Linked DNA regions of Lepisosteus oculatus. The protein of the gene in region 1 interacts with the protein of each later gene in a pairwise test. Links are inferred from orthologs where the notes say so. Each region holds a gene or a part of one and is shown in the gene's direction. Other genes may lie near its edges.

Evidence for each region.
Region 2: the proteins of cytoplasmic protein NCK2 (region 1) and pik3ap1 interact in binary tests that used the Homo sapiens proteins (3 or more experiments, as listed by UniProt). The two-hybrid records come from large-scale screens. The link is inferred for Lepisosteus oculatus from reciprocal best matches to the Homo sapiens genes NCK2 and PIK3AP1.

The regions. Positions count from the first base shown.
Region 1 is NC_090710.1:24,272,260-24,279,317, forward strand, and holds the start of cytoplasmic protein NCK2, read left to right. Parts: upstream 1-4,019; 5' UTR 4,020-4,194; intron 4,195-7,058. UniProt on the Homo sapiens protein: Adapter protein which associates with tyrosine-phosphorylated growth factor receptors or their cellular substrates. Maintains low levels of EIF2S1 phosphorylation by promoting its dephosphorylation by PP1.
Region 2 is NC_090699.1:34,468,358-34,475,548, forward strand, and holds the start of pik3ap1 (phosphoinositide 3-kinase adapter protein 1), read left to right. Parts: upstream 1-4,096; 5' UTR 4,097-4,459; coding exon 4,460-4,492; intron 4,493-7,191. UniProt on the Homo sapiens protein: Signaling adapter that contributes to B-cell development by linking B-cell receptor (BCR) signaling to the phosphoinositide 3-kinase (PI3K)-Akt signaling pathway.

The DNA.
Region 1 (7,058 bases):
ATGCTAATCTATACTAATAATAAAGAATGATGATTCAGGTACAGGATTTTGACCTTGAGTTTTTTTTAACAATCTGTCAAGTGAATCATACAATTCAGGTCCTATTCTTCAGCAATGAGAATGCAAACTTTGTTTATAAAGGTAATGCGTGCATGCAGCAGGCTCTTCAAGTATTTCTTTGCAGTTTTTGTAGTTTTACTGTGCTCCCAGTGTTAGCATAGACAATCCTGCTAACACTGCAGGATTCTACAATCCATCCATTTTCTAATGACTTAATCCCATTCAGGGTCACAGGGGAGCAGAAACCTGTCCTGACAACCAACTGTACAAGGCGGGGTGTACCATGGACATTCTTTGTGAGACACAAACACAAACATGGACACACATACACACTCACACCACGTTTTATATTCAGAGAAGTCAATTAACCTATTGGTATGTTTTTGGACTGTGGAAGGAAACTGGAGGTCCAGAGGAAACCCATGCAAACATGGGGAGAACATGCAAACTCTGCACACCAGGTCTGGAATTGAATCCAGGGCTCCAGCAATGTGAGGCAGCAATGCTAACCACTGCTCCACTATGCTACTGCAACTCTACTACAACATTTTAAATCTGCAGTATATGAGGGAGCTCACTGATTTTAATGAGAACCAATTAATTAAGGTTTTGAAATAAGACAATTTTAATGGTCTCTATCTGTTGTTACTGGGGCAATTTAATATATTAATTACATAAGTAACTAAACATTTTTAAGGATACTAAAGACAATTACCTTCTGATTTTATAGTTTATGATTTTCACTTGCAGTGAGTGATGGAACTTTTGCAATGGCTGACCTGGTAGTAGTGCTGGTGATTAGCTTGCTAGCTTCCACAATTGCTTTTGAGCTTTTTTATTTGACCATGAATGTTTTTATTAGAAAGTTACAGAGAAACCTTATTTGTATACAATATAATATGGTTTCAAACTAAAAAGCAGACAAAATTAAAAATATCAATTTGAATAGAAAAAAAAACATTTTCATCTTAAGATCAGTGAAACCCCAAATATTGTTAATGCAGTTCAGCATATAGAAAACATAACTATTAATAACCTATTTTTTATATATAAATGAGTATCCTCAATTGTGTAAAGTTGTGACATTAAGACATAGCAGCTCAGCTGACCATAAGTTTCATACTTAATAAAGAACCACAAAGGGTGTGAAAAATACAATGCGTAATCAGTGTATATTATACATCAAGGGATGACATGTTAAAATTGTACAATACATTACTATGGCCTAATTTAGAATATGATATACAATTGTGGTCACAATGTCACAAAAATATACAGTACTGCTGCTGAATCATTCCAGGCAAGTGCAATATCCAATATAATAAAGGGTTAATAAAACTCATATACAGTATAAACATGCCATAAACAAATGTTCTTATATTATTTTACCACTAAAATAATAACATTTACCTTTATAATACCTTTACCATAATATCTTTAACACAAATCTAATCAATTACCTAATTAACACCCACTGTGTAGCTATTTACAAAGATTAGAGGCTGCCCAGCAGCCTATAGTGGCTGGGCGGCTGTAACTGCAATCCTGTTTTTTGTCAGCCTGACATAGAGAATGATCCATTAAAATTAAGAGGAACGCACATGTTCCCTATATATCTATATGTTTATCTATGACTGACCAATTGACCTTTAAGTGAAATTTTGACAGATACAGGGCATAAGATATGGTGTATTTACATTTTCAGAAAGCTGTCTATAAAGTTACTTATCACAGATTTAATTTGAAATTACAGGCTGAAGTCCTGCAAGGAAATGTATGCAACTGGATTGAGAACTGATTAATAATTAGCAAATAAACATGATTAAAACTAAATGATTAAATTGGGGCGATGTAATTAGTGGAGTACCACAGTATTTACCAGGACCACAGCTATTCTTAATTTATATTAATGATTATGGTATAATTCGTAAACTATCTTTCAGATAATATCAGATTAGAATGATTAGCTAACACTGTAGAATGTACATAGTAGAATAACACTGTAGAATCAGCAAATGGAATTCCCAAAGAATTTGCTTTAATTCAAAACTGGGAAAACACTTGGCAGATTGCATTTAATCTACTGTACAGAAGTGCAGGGTTTTGCATGCAGTTAGTATAAAAGTAAAAACAATAGGACCCAATGAGCTAGACGAAGCTACTTATGAAGAGGACTTTGGTGTTTTTGTCAACACATTGTTTACATCTTCCAGAAAGTGCTGGTAAATAATAAAAAGGCAAACAAAATTTTAGATTGTATAGTCAAAAGTACAGAATTCAAGTCAAGGGATGTCACATTAAAATTGTACAATGCACTACTGTGGTCTTTTTTGTACAATGTTATGTACAATTGTGGTCACAATCTGGAATCATTCAAGAGAAGAGCAATAGAGGTGCATTCCAGGACATAAAGGAATAAGCAATATCCTACACTGACAGATTGAAATACATTTTTAGTTTTAAACAGAGAAGAATATGAGGGAACTTCTACAAGTATTCAAGATGCTCAAAATCAGCACAGCGGACTGAGTGGTAATGAAGAATATAACATGAGTGGGTAGGAACATGCTCCTGACTGCCAAATTCATATACAACTTATATGAATGTACAACTATTCAGTCTTTTGCAGTTAATTCAGGAAAATATGTTTAAAAGAAGTTGTTATTGTGGGAGATATTAACTTTCCCCGTGTAGATTTGGACAAACCACCAGGTAGGTCAGTAGCTGAAACTGCAATGGTAGAAATGGGTAATGAATGATTCCATACTCAGATTATCAGAAGCCCAAGGTGATGCCTGTATTGATCTAGTGTTTTCAAACAATCGAAACAGAGTGAGGAAAACCATCACAGAAATGTGATCATAATATGTACGTTTTGAAGTATATTTAGAAATTCTGCTAAGCCCAAAAGAAAGATTGGCAATTTCGGAAAAACTGAACATAAAGGAAAGAGTCAACCTGAAATTTAAAGAAATGTTTTTGCTGTAGATACAAATGACATAGATTCAGTAGAGTGGATGGCAACACAAAGTTACAAATACGGAGCAGATTCATCCCAAAAGAAAGTCAAAAGCAAGAAAGGAAAGCTGTAGTCTGTGCAGAAAGCACTTTATACAATGATTAAAAGAGAACAGGATCTAGAAAAGAGGTATTTTATTCTATTATATAATTTTCAAATAGATAATTTAAAAATATTATATATGCAAATTCTGCTTAAAATATACATAATTTAATATAATTGCAATATAGTATTATTTAATATACATTTTTGCATACTTCCAGGGGTCTAGTAGGAAATTACTTTATATTAGCATGTATGCGCCTCACTGCTTCTGCCCCCCATACCCTTTAAAAATAGAGGCAATCAAGTTAATAATCAGGAAATGTCTTGTTCCTGTAAGGAAACGGGGAACAACTATAGCCATTTGATCTATGCATAAGAGGTATCCGAGGTTTTATTTCCGCTTGACAATTTTCATCACTGTATTTCAAACATTTCAAAACACTTTCTCTTGAAAAAATACATAACGTATGGTAAATACCGTGAGTGACGGTATTTGAATGCGCAATATTTGCTGTATCATTATTTTCAATGTTTCGTCTTAAAAGCCTTAAAAGAGCATTTCAGTTTCAGCATAAAGCCAGCTAGTTTACTCAACGAATTGTATGTCTCAGTTGGTGTCCTCTTTTTAGTTTTTCATTTAATTAATATGATCGTTCCTGCCGTGTGCCCATCTATTCTTAAGAAGTGCTAGCTAAGCTGACACTAAAGTCTGCGTACTCGTCCGGACATATAATGTAGTTAACACAGCAATTGGCAGCAGCGAGCACTGGCGATGTAAGAGAGACAGCCCGTCTCTGTCCAGAGCGGCTTCCCAGCGCAGTTGCTTCGGTGCTCCAGCTTTCTCAGTCCTATGGCAGGGCTGACGTCATTGAGCAAGACAGTGGGCTGAGCTAAAGGTAGGGGGAGAGAGAGAGAACGAGAGTGGAGTTGCAGGGCCTGTAAAGAAAGGACCTGGAATAAAACTGGATTTTTCTTCCCCTCTGTCAAGTATTTTATATAAACGTTCTGAACTGCACAGGGGTTATTTGCATACCTGCCTCCCCGCCCGATCCGACCGGAGCTACACCAAGGTAAGAGGGAAAGAAAATTAAGGAACTGAGTATAAAGTTGGTGTGGCAGCTTCTGGAGGTGGTGGTGGGGGGGTACTGTAATTGGCGTTGGTGTGTTTTCGGTTCATTCACAAATCGTCCTGAGCAGATGGATATCAAGCCGTGTTTTAATAAAAGCAAATACATTCCCTGGGCAAAGGGGTCTGGAAGACCTCTGAAGTAAAATTCCCATCATTAGGTGCTTGTGCTTTTAGATGGTTTTAGTGTTGAGCTCCGCGTTAAGCTCAGTGGCTTTGTTATTTGTGGCTGAGACTCTACAGCAGTACAATAGACGGGATTCAATAGGATGGTGATGATGGCGTTTCGGAGCCGCTTGTAAAGATTCCGCCTTCGAGGGGCTCTTGCCTGCCAGCGTTCTCTCTGTGGAAAAACGCACGAATAATTCATGGCAGATAGCTGCCGGTTTGACGATAAGGGGGCTGTAACTTTAAACGTGTTATTGCGTCTTGTAGTGGTTTAGATATCTTGCATGTGTCCATTGTCTTCACGGTATCGCTTCAGTGTGCATTGACGTTGCTGTTTGCTGTATAGTCTTCCAACTTCCACAGGAAAAATAGAAACGACATTAAGTTCTTTGTCCCATAATAAGCATCATGCCCAAATCGCAATTTTTTATCGATATCATTTTTTTGCTCAGTGACTGCTGACAGCCACAACAACCACACGTTATCCACAGTAATGGTAATGGGGTGTGCATAGTCATTAATGTAGAATCGAAAACGGTTAATAGTGATGAATTTATTGTCAAAGCATAGCTCTGCCAGAAATGTTTAATAAACATATTGGTATGGGTACATTTTGGAAGAGAAAAAAACTTTAGTGTCTTTTTTGTTATTGATATCAGCCCTATCCTTGCTGAATTAGATAAATATTAAAACACACCCTGATTTAAGTACAGGTATGACACTCTATTCCATATTTATAATACTAACAACACTCTTATATAGCCTAAAGTATTGTATGTCACACCAATATCTATATGAGCTACTAATTTTAATCTTGTGAAGATTTTATTGCTGTTTTAGTTTAAATTGATATGGTATTCTGTCAGAGAAAGGCTGAATAATAATGGCTTTTTCTTTTTTGAGCATTAAAATTAAAATTGTAGGCTCTTTTCAAAAACTGAGTTGCTATGTCTAATTCTCATCTTCAGTTTTACATGTAGATGGAAAATTGCTCTTTAGGTTCTTTAAGGTAACAGCCCCATAGAAATGAAGTCACCTTGTATTCTCTGCTTATAACATTACTTGGATGAGTCTTCATAGGCACATACTGTAGAATGAAACTTGATAAACCACTATAGGTAAAAATAGTAGGGCTTTCTTTTCAACATTCAAATAAGTCATTTGGGAAAATATGAAATGCTGACATTGATGTATTAATAGTGTCAGAAATGAAAGCACTCGCTTATCTCTTTTAGTTTTGTAATAATAGATACCAGACTTTCTGAACTAATTTGTTTTTGTATTCTTTAGCCTGTTCAGGCACATCTTGATTAATTGGTATCACCTACAAACTTTTCTTTGCCCATTTCAACATTTGTTTTGCCTCGTTAGACATTTGCAGACATGCAGGGAAACTATTACAATTCTGTTATACTCTCTTCCGTGATGATCGCTTTCTATCAACAAAAAAATTCAATGACAAAAACAGCTATGCTAGTAAAGCCAAACTTAAGTGTGATATCAGACACAAGGGCCAAGTAAGTGGAACAGGTAAGATCTCTCAAGATGTGCTAGCTATAGCATGAAGAAGTCATAAGGTACATTTCATGTTGTCATGTCTCGTTTTTCATTCATAAAGCTGTCATACATGGTGATGGTAGGCAATTCTTTAAGTGTAACAATAAATGGGCTTACAGAATGCACACAGGATAGCAACACCTCTGTGATTCCTTATACGTATTGACATAGTCAAGTGCCATTGTCAGTGCTTGGGCTTGGAATTGTAGGCACATGGACAATGGGTACAATAGTCTTGACAGTTTTTCTTTCTGCTGTAGATGAAGGTCTTTGTTTTTCCCCCCCCTATCTTCCTTGTGAATAGGCAGCCTTTCCTCATAATTATTCCCTCAGTTGTTTTCTGTCCTGAAGAGTAGTGGATTCTTTCGACTCAAGACTTTGGCCTTCAGTATATTTACAGCAAACAGGTTAGGAAGAGTAGTGTTTGACCCCTTCTTAGGAGTGATCCACACAGCTTTACATTCTTGTATGTTTTGGTTGTGGCTAACATTTGAATGGCCTTTCAATGTTGCTTTGTTACCAGTGCATAATTGGACACTGCTGTCTTTTGATGCCTTTTCCCTTCAGAGCATGCCACGTCTTGTGCATCCCACTCCACCCTGTGTAATTTATAAAGGTCTGTTTTTTAATTCATTTACTTTATTTTTGAAAATAAATAAAACAATAGCTTTGGACAAACATCTCTTAAACTGTAAGCCATGGTGATTTCATACTGCAGTGATCAGCTTTATTTGATTTTTTTATGACTGGAAATAGCCACAGAGTGCTGTTAAAGTACTTGAGTCTGGTTCTTGTACAGTGTAGAGGGCTATGCAATGAACTAGTGTTTTCAGAGTTTAGCAGTATGCTTGTGCTTTAACCAGTCGATGACTGTAAACATTCCTAATATCTTTGCTGTGCACCCTGTATTCCACTTGGGAATGAATGTATAAATCTTTAGTTGCAAACTGGCAGAATTATTAGTTATGTATTCTGTGTTTCAGAGATTTCTAGACTCCACATTCCTTGAGCAACTTATGTTCTGAATGTGATAACTTAAGTGTATCTGCCACCTTAACCTTCCCTTTTAGATGCAAAAGAATT
Region 2 (7,191 bases), on another chromosome or scaffold:
TTAGCCAGCAATATAAGCTGTAAAAAAAATTCAAAAATATTTAGAAAGAATTCAAGACTATGCAAACATTTAGCAGATTACATTTAATGTAGACTAGTGCAGAGTGTTACAAGCATATAGTAAAAACCATAACATCTATTTTGTTGTAAGTATAAATGAAAACTGTACAAGTAAGAGATCATGTAGAATTCGTCATTCCATTTAGCTACTCTAGCATCAAAACACAGAAGAGCATTCAGGTACAGTACATTACCACATGTTATACTCTGACAGGCTAAAATGACAAAAAATAATTTTGTTTCAAACAGAGAATATTACAATGGAACATGGTTCAAGTATTCAAAATCCTCAAAGGCAGTGAGACCGTCAACCCAACAAACTTCTAAAGTATGAACAGTGAAATGTACACCAGAGGACACAAAATGTAAACTAGGGGGAACTGCATTTAAAATTGAGAATAGGAGACAGTTTTTACAGAAGTGGTTGTCGGTGCCTGGAAAAAGTTACCCAACTATGTTGTCTAAACCTTTGCTATCTTTATTTTATCCAACTAGTTCTTTCACTGAACAGATAAAATCAACAGCTCAATTAGCTATTGCAAACCAAAGAAGCTTACTGTGCCAAATGGTATCCTTTTGTTTGCATGGATTCAGATGTTTTTACTCCATGTTTATCTTTAGGAATATATTTCTGCATCTTTTTTAAATGATGTAGTTTTACAGCTGCAGAATTCCGGTAACCCACTTTTAGGTTTTATCTGAGTGGTGTAAAAGAAATTACTTAAACCTGACCCCGATTTGAGAAGCGTTAAAAAGATGCTACAAAGTTTAACCACAATCAGATAAGTTTTGTAAAACAACCTTTTGGCACTATGTTAAGTATAGTAATAAATATATTAAAAATGCAAGGGAAGTGCCAATATCTTTTATCACAACATCAGAAAATAGCAGGTGCTTCTATCTTTAGAAACGGTTAAAAACATTTAATAGATCACAAGTTAACAAAATCAAAAGGAGACTGTGCTGCTCTAATTACACACTACCATCTTCTTAAATCTCAAGAATTACAGAAGAGCATTTGTAATCATGGGTCTTGGACAAGTGTTTCATACATCTTTCTATATTTTCTTTCTAACAATTATTGAGTATGAAACAACACGGACAAAAATAAGTCTTCAAATCAACCTTAAAAATCAAGCTTAAAATCTTGTACCTAAACTGATATAACATTTTTATGTTTTGTGTTTCAGTTCTTTGCTTCATTATTTTTCATGAGTAAATAGGTTTAGATCACATGAAAAAGTAGAGGACTGTTTTTTTAATTGTGTTAAAATGCTTTACTGGCTGCAAAATTAATACAAAAATGTTGATTATATTGTATTGCCTTCATTACATATTGCTATATATTAATACTCCACAGGTAAATTGATTTTTTTTAATAAGCAAATAAACAAAAGCCATTGATATTGGACATTTGCATTTAATTCCTCAAATGTATTAAAATTGGTCCAATCAAATCCATTTTTTCCATCAACAAAAATCACCATTGTTATTTATGTGTTTTGTGTTACATGTGCCTGTACACAACTCACATACTTCCATTAATGGATATATATATATATTTAATTTGTAGAACATGAGCTCATCATATGAAGCAAAGGAAATACTCTGGTGGTATGTTATTGAATTTTAGTATTCAATGTATTGACAAGTATTGTCAAGTTAAAAACAGGTGGTACAGTGGTTATCATTGCTGATAGCCACACAGTGCTGGGGCCCTCGCTTCAATCTGGACCTTGTGTGCTATCTGTGTGTTTGTATGTTCTCCCTGTGTTTGTGTAGGTTTCCTCCAGGTGCTTCGGTTTCCCCCCACAGTCAAAAACATACTGGTTAATTGGTCTCTGGGAATACTGGCCCTACTGTGAGCCCAATTGTGTGCATGTCTGTGTCTATGTGTGTGCCTGTTGCTTGTTGAGCTTTGAAAGAAGTGGGAAGAAAATAGATAGATGAAAAGTTACAAATATTTTACAATACAATATCCTCTCAATCACTTCTGTTAAATCTTTATTGTTTAACTTTAATAAGCATTTTACCATGTTGCATAAAATTAAAATGCTTATTTTTAAAAAAAGTTTTTCAGTGGTCCTACAATGTATGATGATTCTGATTGACTGTAAGAACAATCACCTTCATCAATTATGTGTTCTGGCAATGCGATGCTAAAACCAGGCCTATGTCCAACTTTAGAACACACCTACTGCCATTTCATTGTACTTCATAAAAGTACTTCTATGATTATGATAATATGGTTGGACACAATTTTAATAACAAACCTAAATATTGATACCTACAAAGCATTTGTGGTAAAAGAATCAGCACATACTGTATAATACACCACACTCTATAACAAAACAGGTTGAACAAGTCCTTGAAACTTCCTCATATGTCTCCTATCATAACAGGAAACACCTGATACAAAGGTACTTTTATTTCTCTTTTGTGAACCTAAAAATTAATGCATACTGTTGACCTGAATCTCTTGTTATAGCGAATCACCACAAGCGTTTTCTTTTAGCAATAACAATTGATTATACTAATATTTAGAATAACAGCACAATTTTCAGCTCCGGTAAAGCTTATCCGCGAGCGTCAAAATCAGCACGTGGTTGTGTTTCAGTGCGTTAAAATGATGTTTTCTGCAAATAGTTTTAAAAAAATGTACTCCGATGTTTTGTCCTGACCGTTCTTCTTATTCTAAAGCGTCTTGTCTGACGTATTAAAAATGCTTCAGAAGAATATAACAGCAAATATAAACTTGAGAAACTCAGCATTTTGCAGAACACGAATTGTTTTATTTTATCTAATTTACGTTCGGAAACTCAGAAACGGGGAACCAAAACATTAAGAATGGAAAAAAAACTCAAAAATCCGAAAGGTTAAACTCGCCTCTTCCGCATTAAAGAAATTGAAAAGTTGCTGTTTTTTACAGTTTGATCGAGCTTGGCATTGCAATGATTATATACAGTACTTGAACGGCTGCATATGCTCTGAATGTTTTCATTTCATTTGGTACGCTCAAAAGCAAATGTATGTTATCCCTGATAAATTATTATGATTAAGTGTTATCCTTACATTTAGTTAAAAAACAGCAAACGTATTATCCAATGAATCTTGAAGTCGTGATGTTTTGTTAGAACCTGTGATGCTTTGGCTCTGTAATTACTGTACTGTATAGGACTATCTCCCCAGACCATTTAATCTGAATGTCTTGTTTCCACTGAATATAAGTCCAGTGACAACTGTGTCAGTTACATTTCCTTCAGTTCTGCAAAGTTTTTTTATATGCCTCTAGATAACACGAGGATGTTAGGTACAGTAGTACATGTTAATGTTTTTTAAGTTCTCATGACTGCTCTGTTGTTAGTCCTACTTTACGCGTCGGGTGCGAAGAAGCAGTTTAAATGTAAACTTTCAAAGATGTCACATTAGGAAGTGAATTATTATTAATCACCAGTGTCTTTACACTTATAAATCGATAATTGTTGACAAGGTCGTGTACCAAAGCCTCTAGAACTTATTTCTTAACCTTACAGAACCCTAGAAACACTTTTATCTGTTCTAAAAGCTCCAGGGAATATGGCATGGTAATAGTTAAGTAATGGTATTCTTTCATATTTAAACAATTTCTCATTTTAAATTAATGAAAGTTTTTGTTGTCCTTCTTGTAGAAACCCTAATTGTACAGTAGGTCTTTCATCAAATTGCATTCATGTACTGTACCTTACTGTGTCCATGCTGTTTGAGTCATATTGGGTAGTTGAGTTCAAGCGACCGCGTTAATGGCAGACCCAGTGAATACTATTTCACAATTATTTTCATTCTACTTAAAACATCGAAATAAGAAATATTTGCGGCAGACATGTTTGTTTTCTGATGTCGATGCGTACGTAACCACATATGGAATGACTTTACAGGTGTATTAAAGTTGTTAAAATGGCTTTTTAATTCGGCGCTAAGAATACATAAGCGCAATAAGTCACCTGATTTCTGGAATGTTGCGTTAGTTACCAAGGTTGTGCTTTCTTTGCTTTTCTCTACAGGTCAAACAATCAATTGTGCAAACACTTCAGCTTCGGAGTTAATGACAGTTTTAGGAAGTGACGCTTGGTCACAGTAAGATCAGGAAACTGAAAAAGTGACTGGTTGATACTGTTATTCTCTGCGGAGCGATGGAGGGGAAGAGTCGACTTGTGAGATGAAACTTGTAAACTTTTATTGACTGCATCGAGACCGCCAGATGTGAACAACTTTACATCCAATTTACACATTTGCATAGATATAAAAGCAAATACATTTCTGAAACATGGCAGGACTGCATGTAGGGGCGAAGCTATAGAAGGTCACTGAAGCGCTCAGTTAATACAGGGAGGCTGAACCGCTGAGCAGCTCGGAGTCCAGGAATGTTTTATGTCTTTTCGACATGTCACATTCAGGTAAGTAGTTGTGATATTGTTTGTATATATTTGTAAGCACGTATCTCTATTTTGTTGACAACTTTTCTTTTTTTGTTTTTTATCATCAGTAAAAAGTTTAAACCTTTCTAATATCCAATGAATACGGAACCTAACATATATGCAAACTCTGAAGTACAGTATATTTGCAGCGAACCAGTGCTTAGAATTTCCATTATAGTGTAATACTATACAGTAAGCATCATTGTTTTGGAAAAGAGGAATAAATAAAAGAAGCTTATCTGATCTGCTTCTTGCATGCACTTCATTAGAGTCACTGAAATGTAACTGGAATCATAACCATAATTTCTAAGTAAAATAAGTTGTCCACTCTGCAAAACAGAAATGAGGATCTGAATTTCCAAGTAAATACAAAAGTGGTAGTTACAGAAAGACACGAAATATTGAAGTGTTCTGTAAAACATACTTTGCAGGTGCCACGCACATTTAGAGATTGAATGTGTTATGTTTTTGTGAACAAGCACAATCAATATTATCATCTTCTTTAAATTTAAGAAAACCCTATATACTGTATTGTACTCTCATTTTATGTAATGGAAAATTCATTAATAGCATCTTATAAAAATAATCTCTCATCCTAAACTGAAGAGTTTTATAAAATGTGCTATTTTTCTTTAACAATTTGAAGACTATGCTAGAAAAACACTGTAAAAAAGGGACAGTTTACAAGCTGCTTGAATTGTTGACTTTTGAAAGTAACAGTTGTTTGGATTTTATGAAGCAAATATTGTAAAGAAACATATGTCTTCAAAGAGAATGACATATTACCTGTAACAAATGTACTATTATAGGTCCCTTAGGGGTCAAATTCTGTCCCATTTTTATGCTTACACTAAGCTTAGCTGTAAGCATTTAGAACTCAAACAGAAATGAGAATTCAGACAGTTTGTGGTTTGGTACTAGTGTTAAGTTATCCTTACAAATCCTTACAGTTATCCTACTGTATAATCTTTCTTAGCATTTCTTAATATTTCTTATTCTTTAATGGATCCTTTAATAGACATATTACACTAATAATCTGAAGTCAGCTTTCTGTCTTTTTAACTCAGACATTTCTAAATTTAGACATATAGCAGCAAATATCTTAACGCACTTAATACCTTAGTTAATGGACAATTGACACAATTATTATTTAAAGTATTTAATATTTAAATGTTGCATGCACACATGCTGGTTCAAAGCAGGACTGTACTGTTATTATGGGGCTGTACCATAATTCAGTAATTTAAAATGCATAAATGCTAAATGCTTGAAATTCTTTTGCAATCCATAAAATTATTATACAACATACAGTACAACCAGGTGTTTAGATTTAAAAAAAATCACAAAGCAAATGAATGAATACTATTAGTATTTGTTGTGATGTTGGATTGTGTCATTTCTCCTTCCATTTTCCTAACTGTTCAGAATGCAGGTCTGTTTACATGTTAATTAAAATATTGTGAAGTTTCATGCTTTCAGAAATTCAGTCTTTTAAAATTGTATTAATCTATAGTTTTACCTTAAACATATTTAAGTAAAAATTTGCAGATCCAATCTAGGTATTTTGGTTGCTTCATTAGGCTTTGTTTCTGGAAACTTTTTATGAAGAACAGTGGAAAACTTGCAATTAGGAAGTGAATAAAGTTTTGATATAAATTTGGACATTTTAGACATGAAATAATAAATAATAATACTTGATATTCTGACTACATTGTAAAATGATGAACATTTACTGAATGGGCAGTTATTTTAGTATTGAAAAGTATAAAATTTGGAGTGATACATGTCTATTAATTTCATATTAATGAGACATTCAAAACATGAGCTTTAACAGCCTGTATGGAAATTAACGTGTTCAAATACAAGATATACATTTTTCCTTGTGTGTACTCTCAAGGAATTTCTCAAAAGTAAGCTAATAAAAGTAGTAGGTTTTTCTGGATACTATATGCATGTTAGTTTGCATTCATTTTAATTTATTATATTTTCCTTGCTTATGACAGATATTTGTAAAGGTTCTTTGTCTTGTGTGTAGTGTCAATATTATACAGTATGTAATTTAATTGAAAGTGTACACTTTTGTAAATGCACAATTTATTTAATATGCTTTTTTTGACAATATGTGTTTTTGACAATATCACAAAATAATAGTTTTGACTAATGGGAATAATGTTGATGTACAGTACATACTTCATGGAAGAAGAAGAATCAGGAAATAATGTTGATCTGAAATCAAAGCTCAAGTGACTTAAATGCATTTTTAAATCACTGGATTATTTAAATTTAGTGGGTGGTCACAGAATCAAAATCATTTTTCCTGTATAAACATAAGATTTACAGCTAGAGGATAGAGTTAGAGCAATTAACTGTTCAGCAATTAACCCTTTTCATTTCATTGGATCAAAAAACTTAATATATCACTGCTTAAATGAGAATTTCTTCAGTAATCGGTTACCTTTCAGAAATGAATTGCTTTGTAAAGGTTGTCCATGAAATTGTGTGAATAACTTTGATCAGATATGGTAGCAGGTTTTGCAAGGTAGTCAATAGTATTGGGACTTAACAGTAATTACTGACTTGGTTTGACTAATGTTGTGCTCCCATAGCAGGTTTACATTGTAGTACATGGGGTAGGTTCAGGACAATACAAAATGCAGTTAAATATAATAAAATACGTT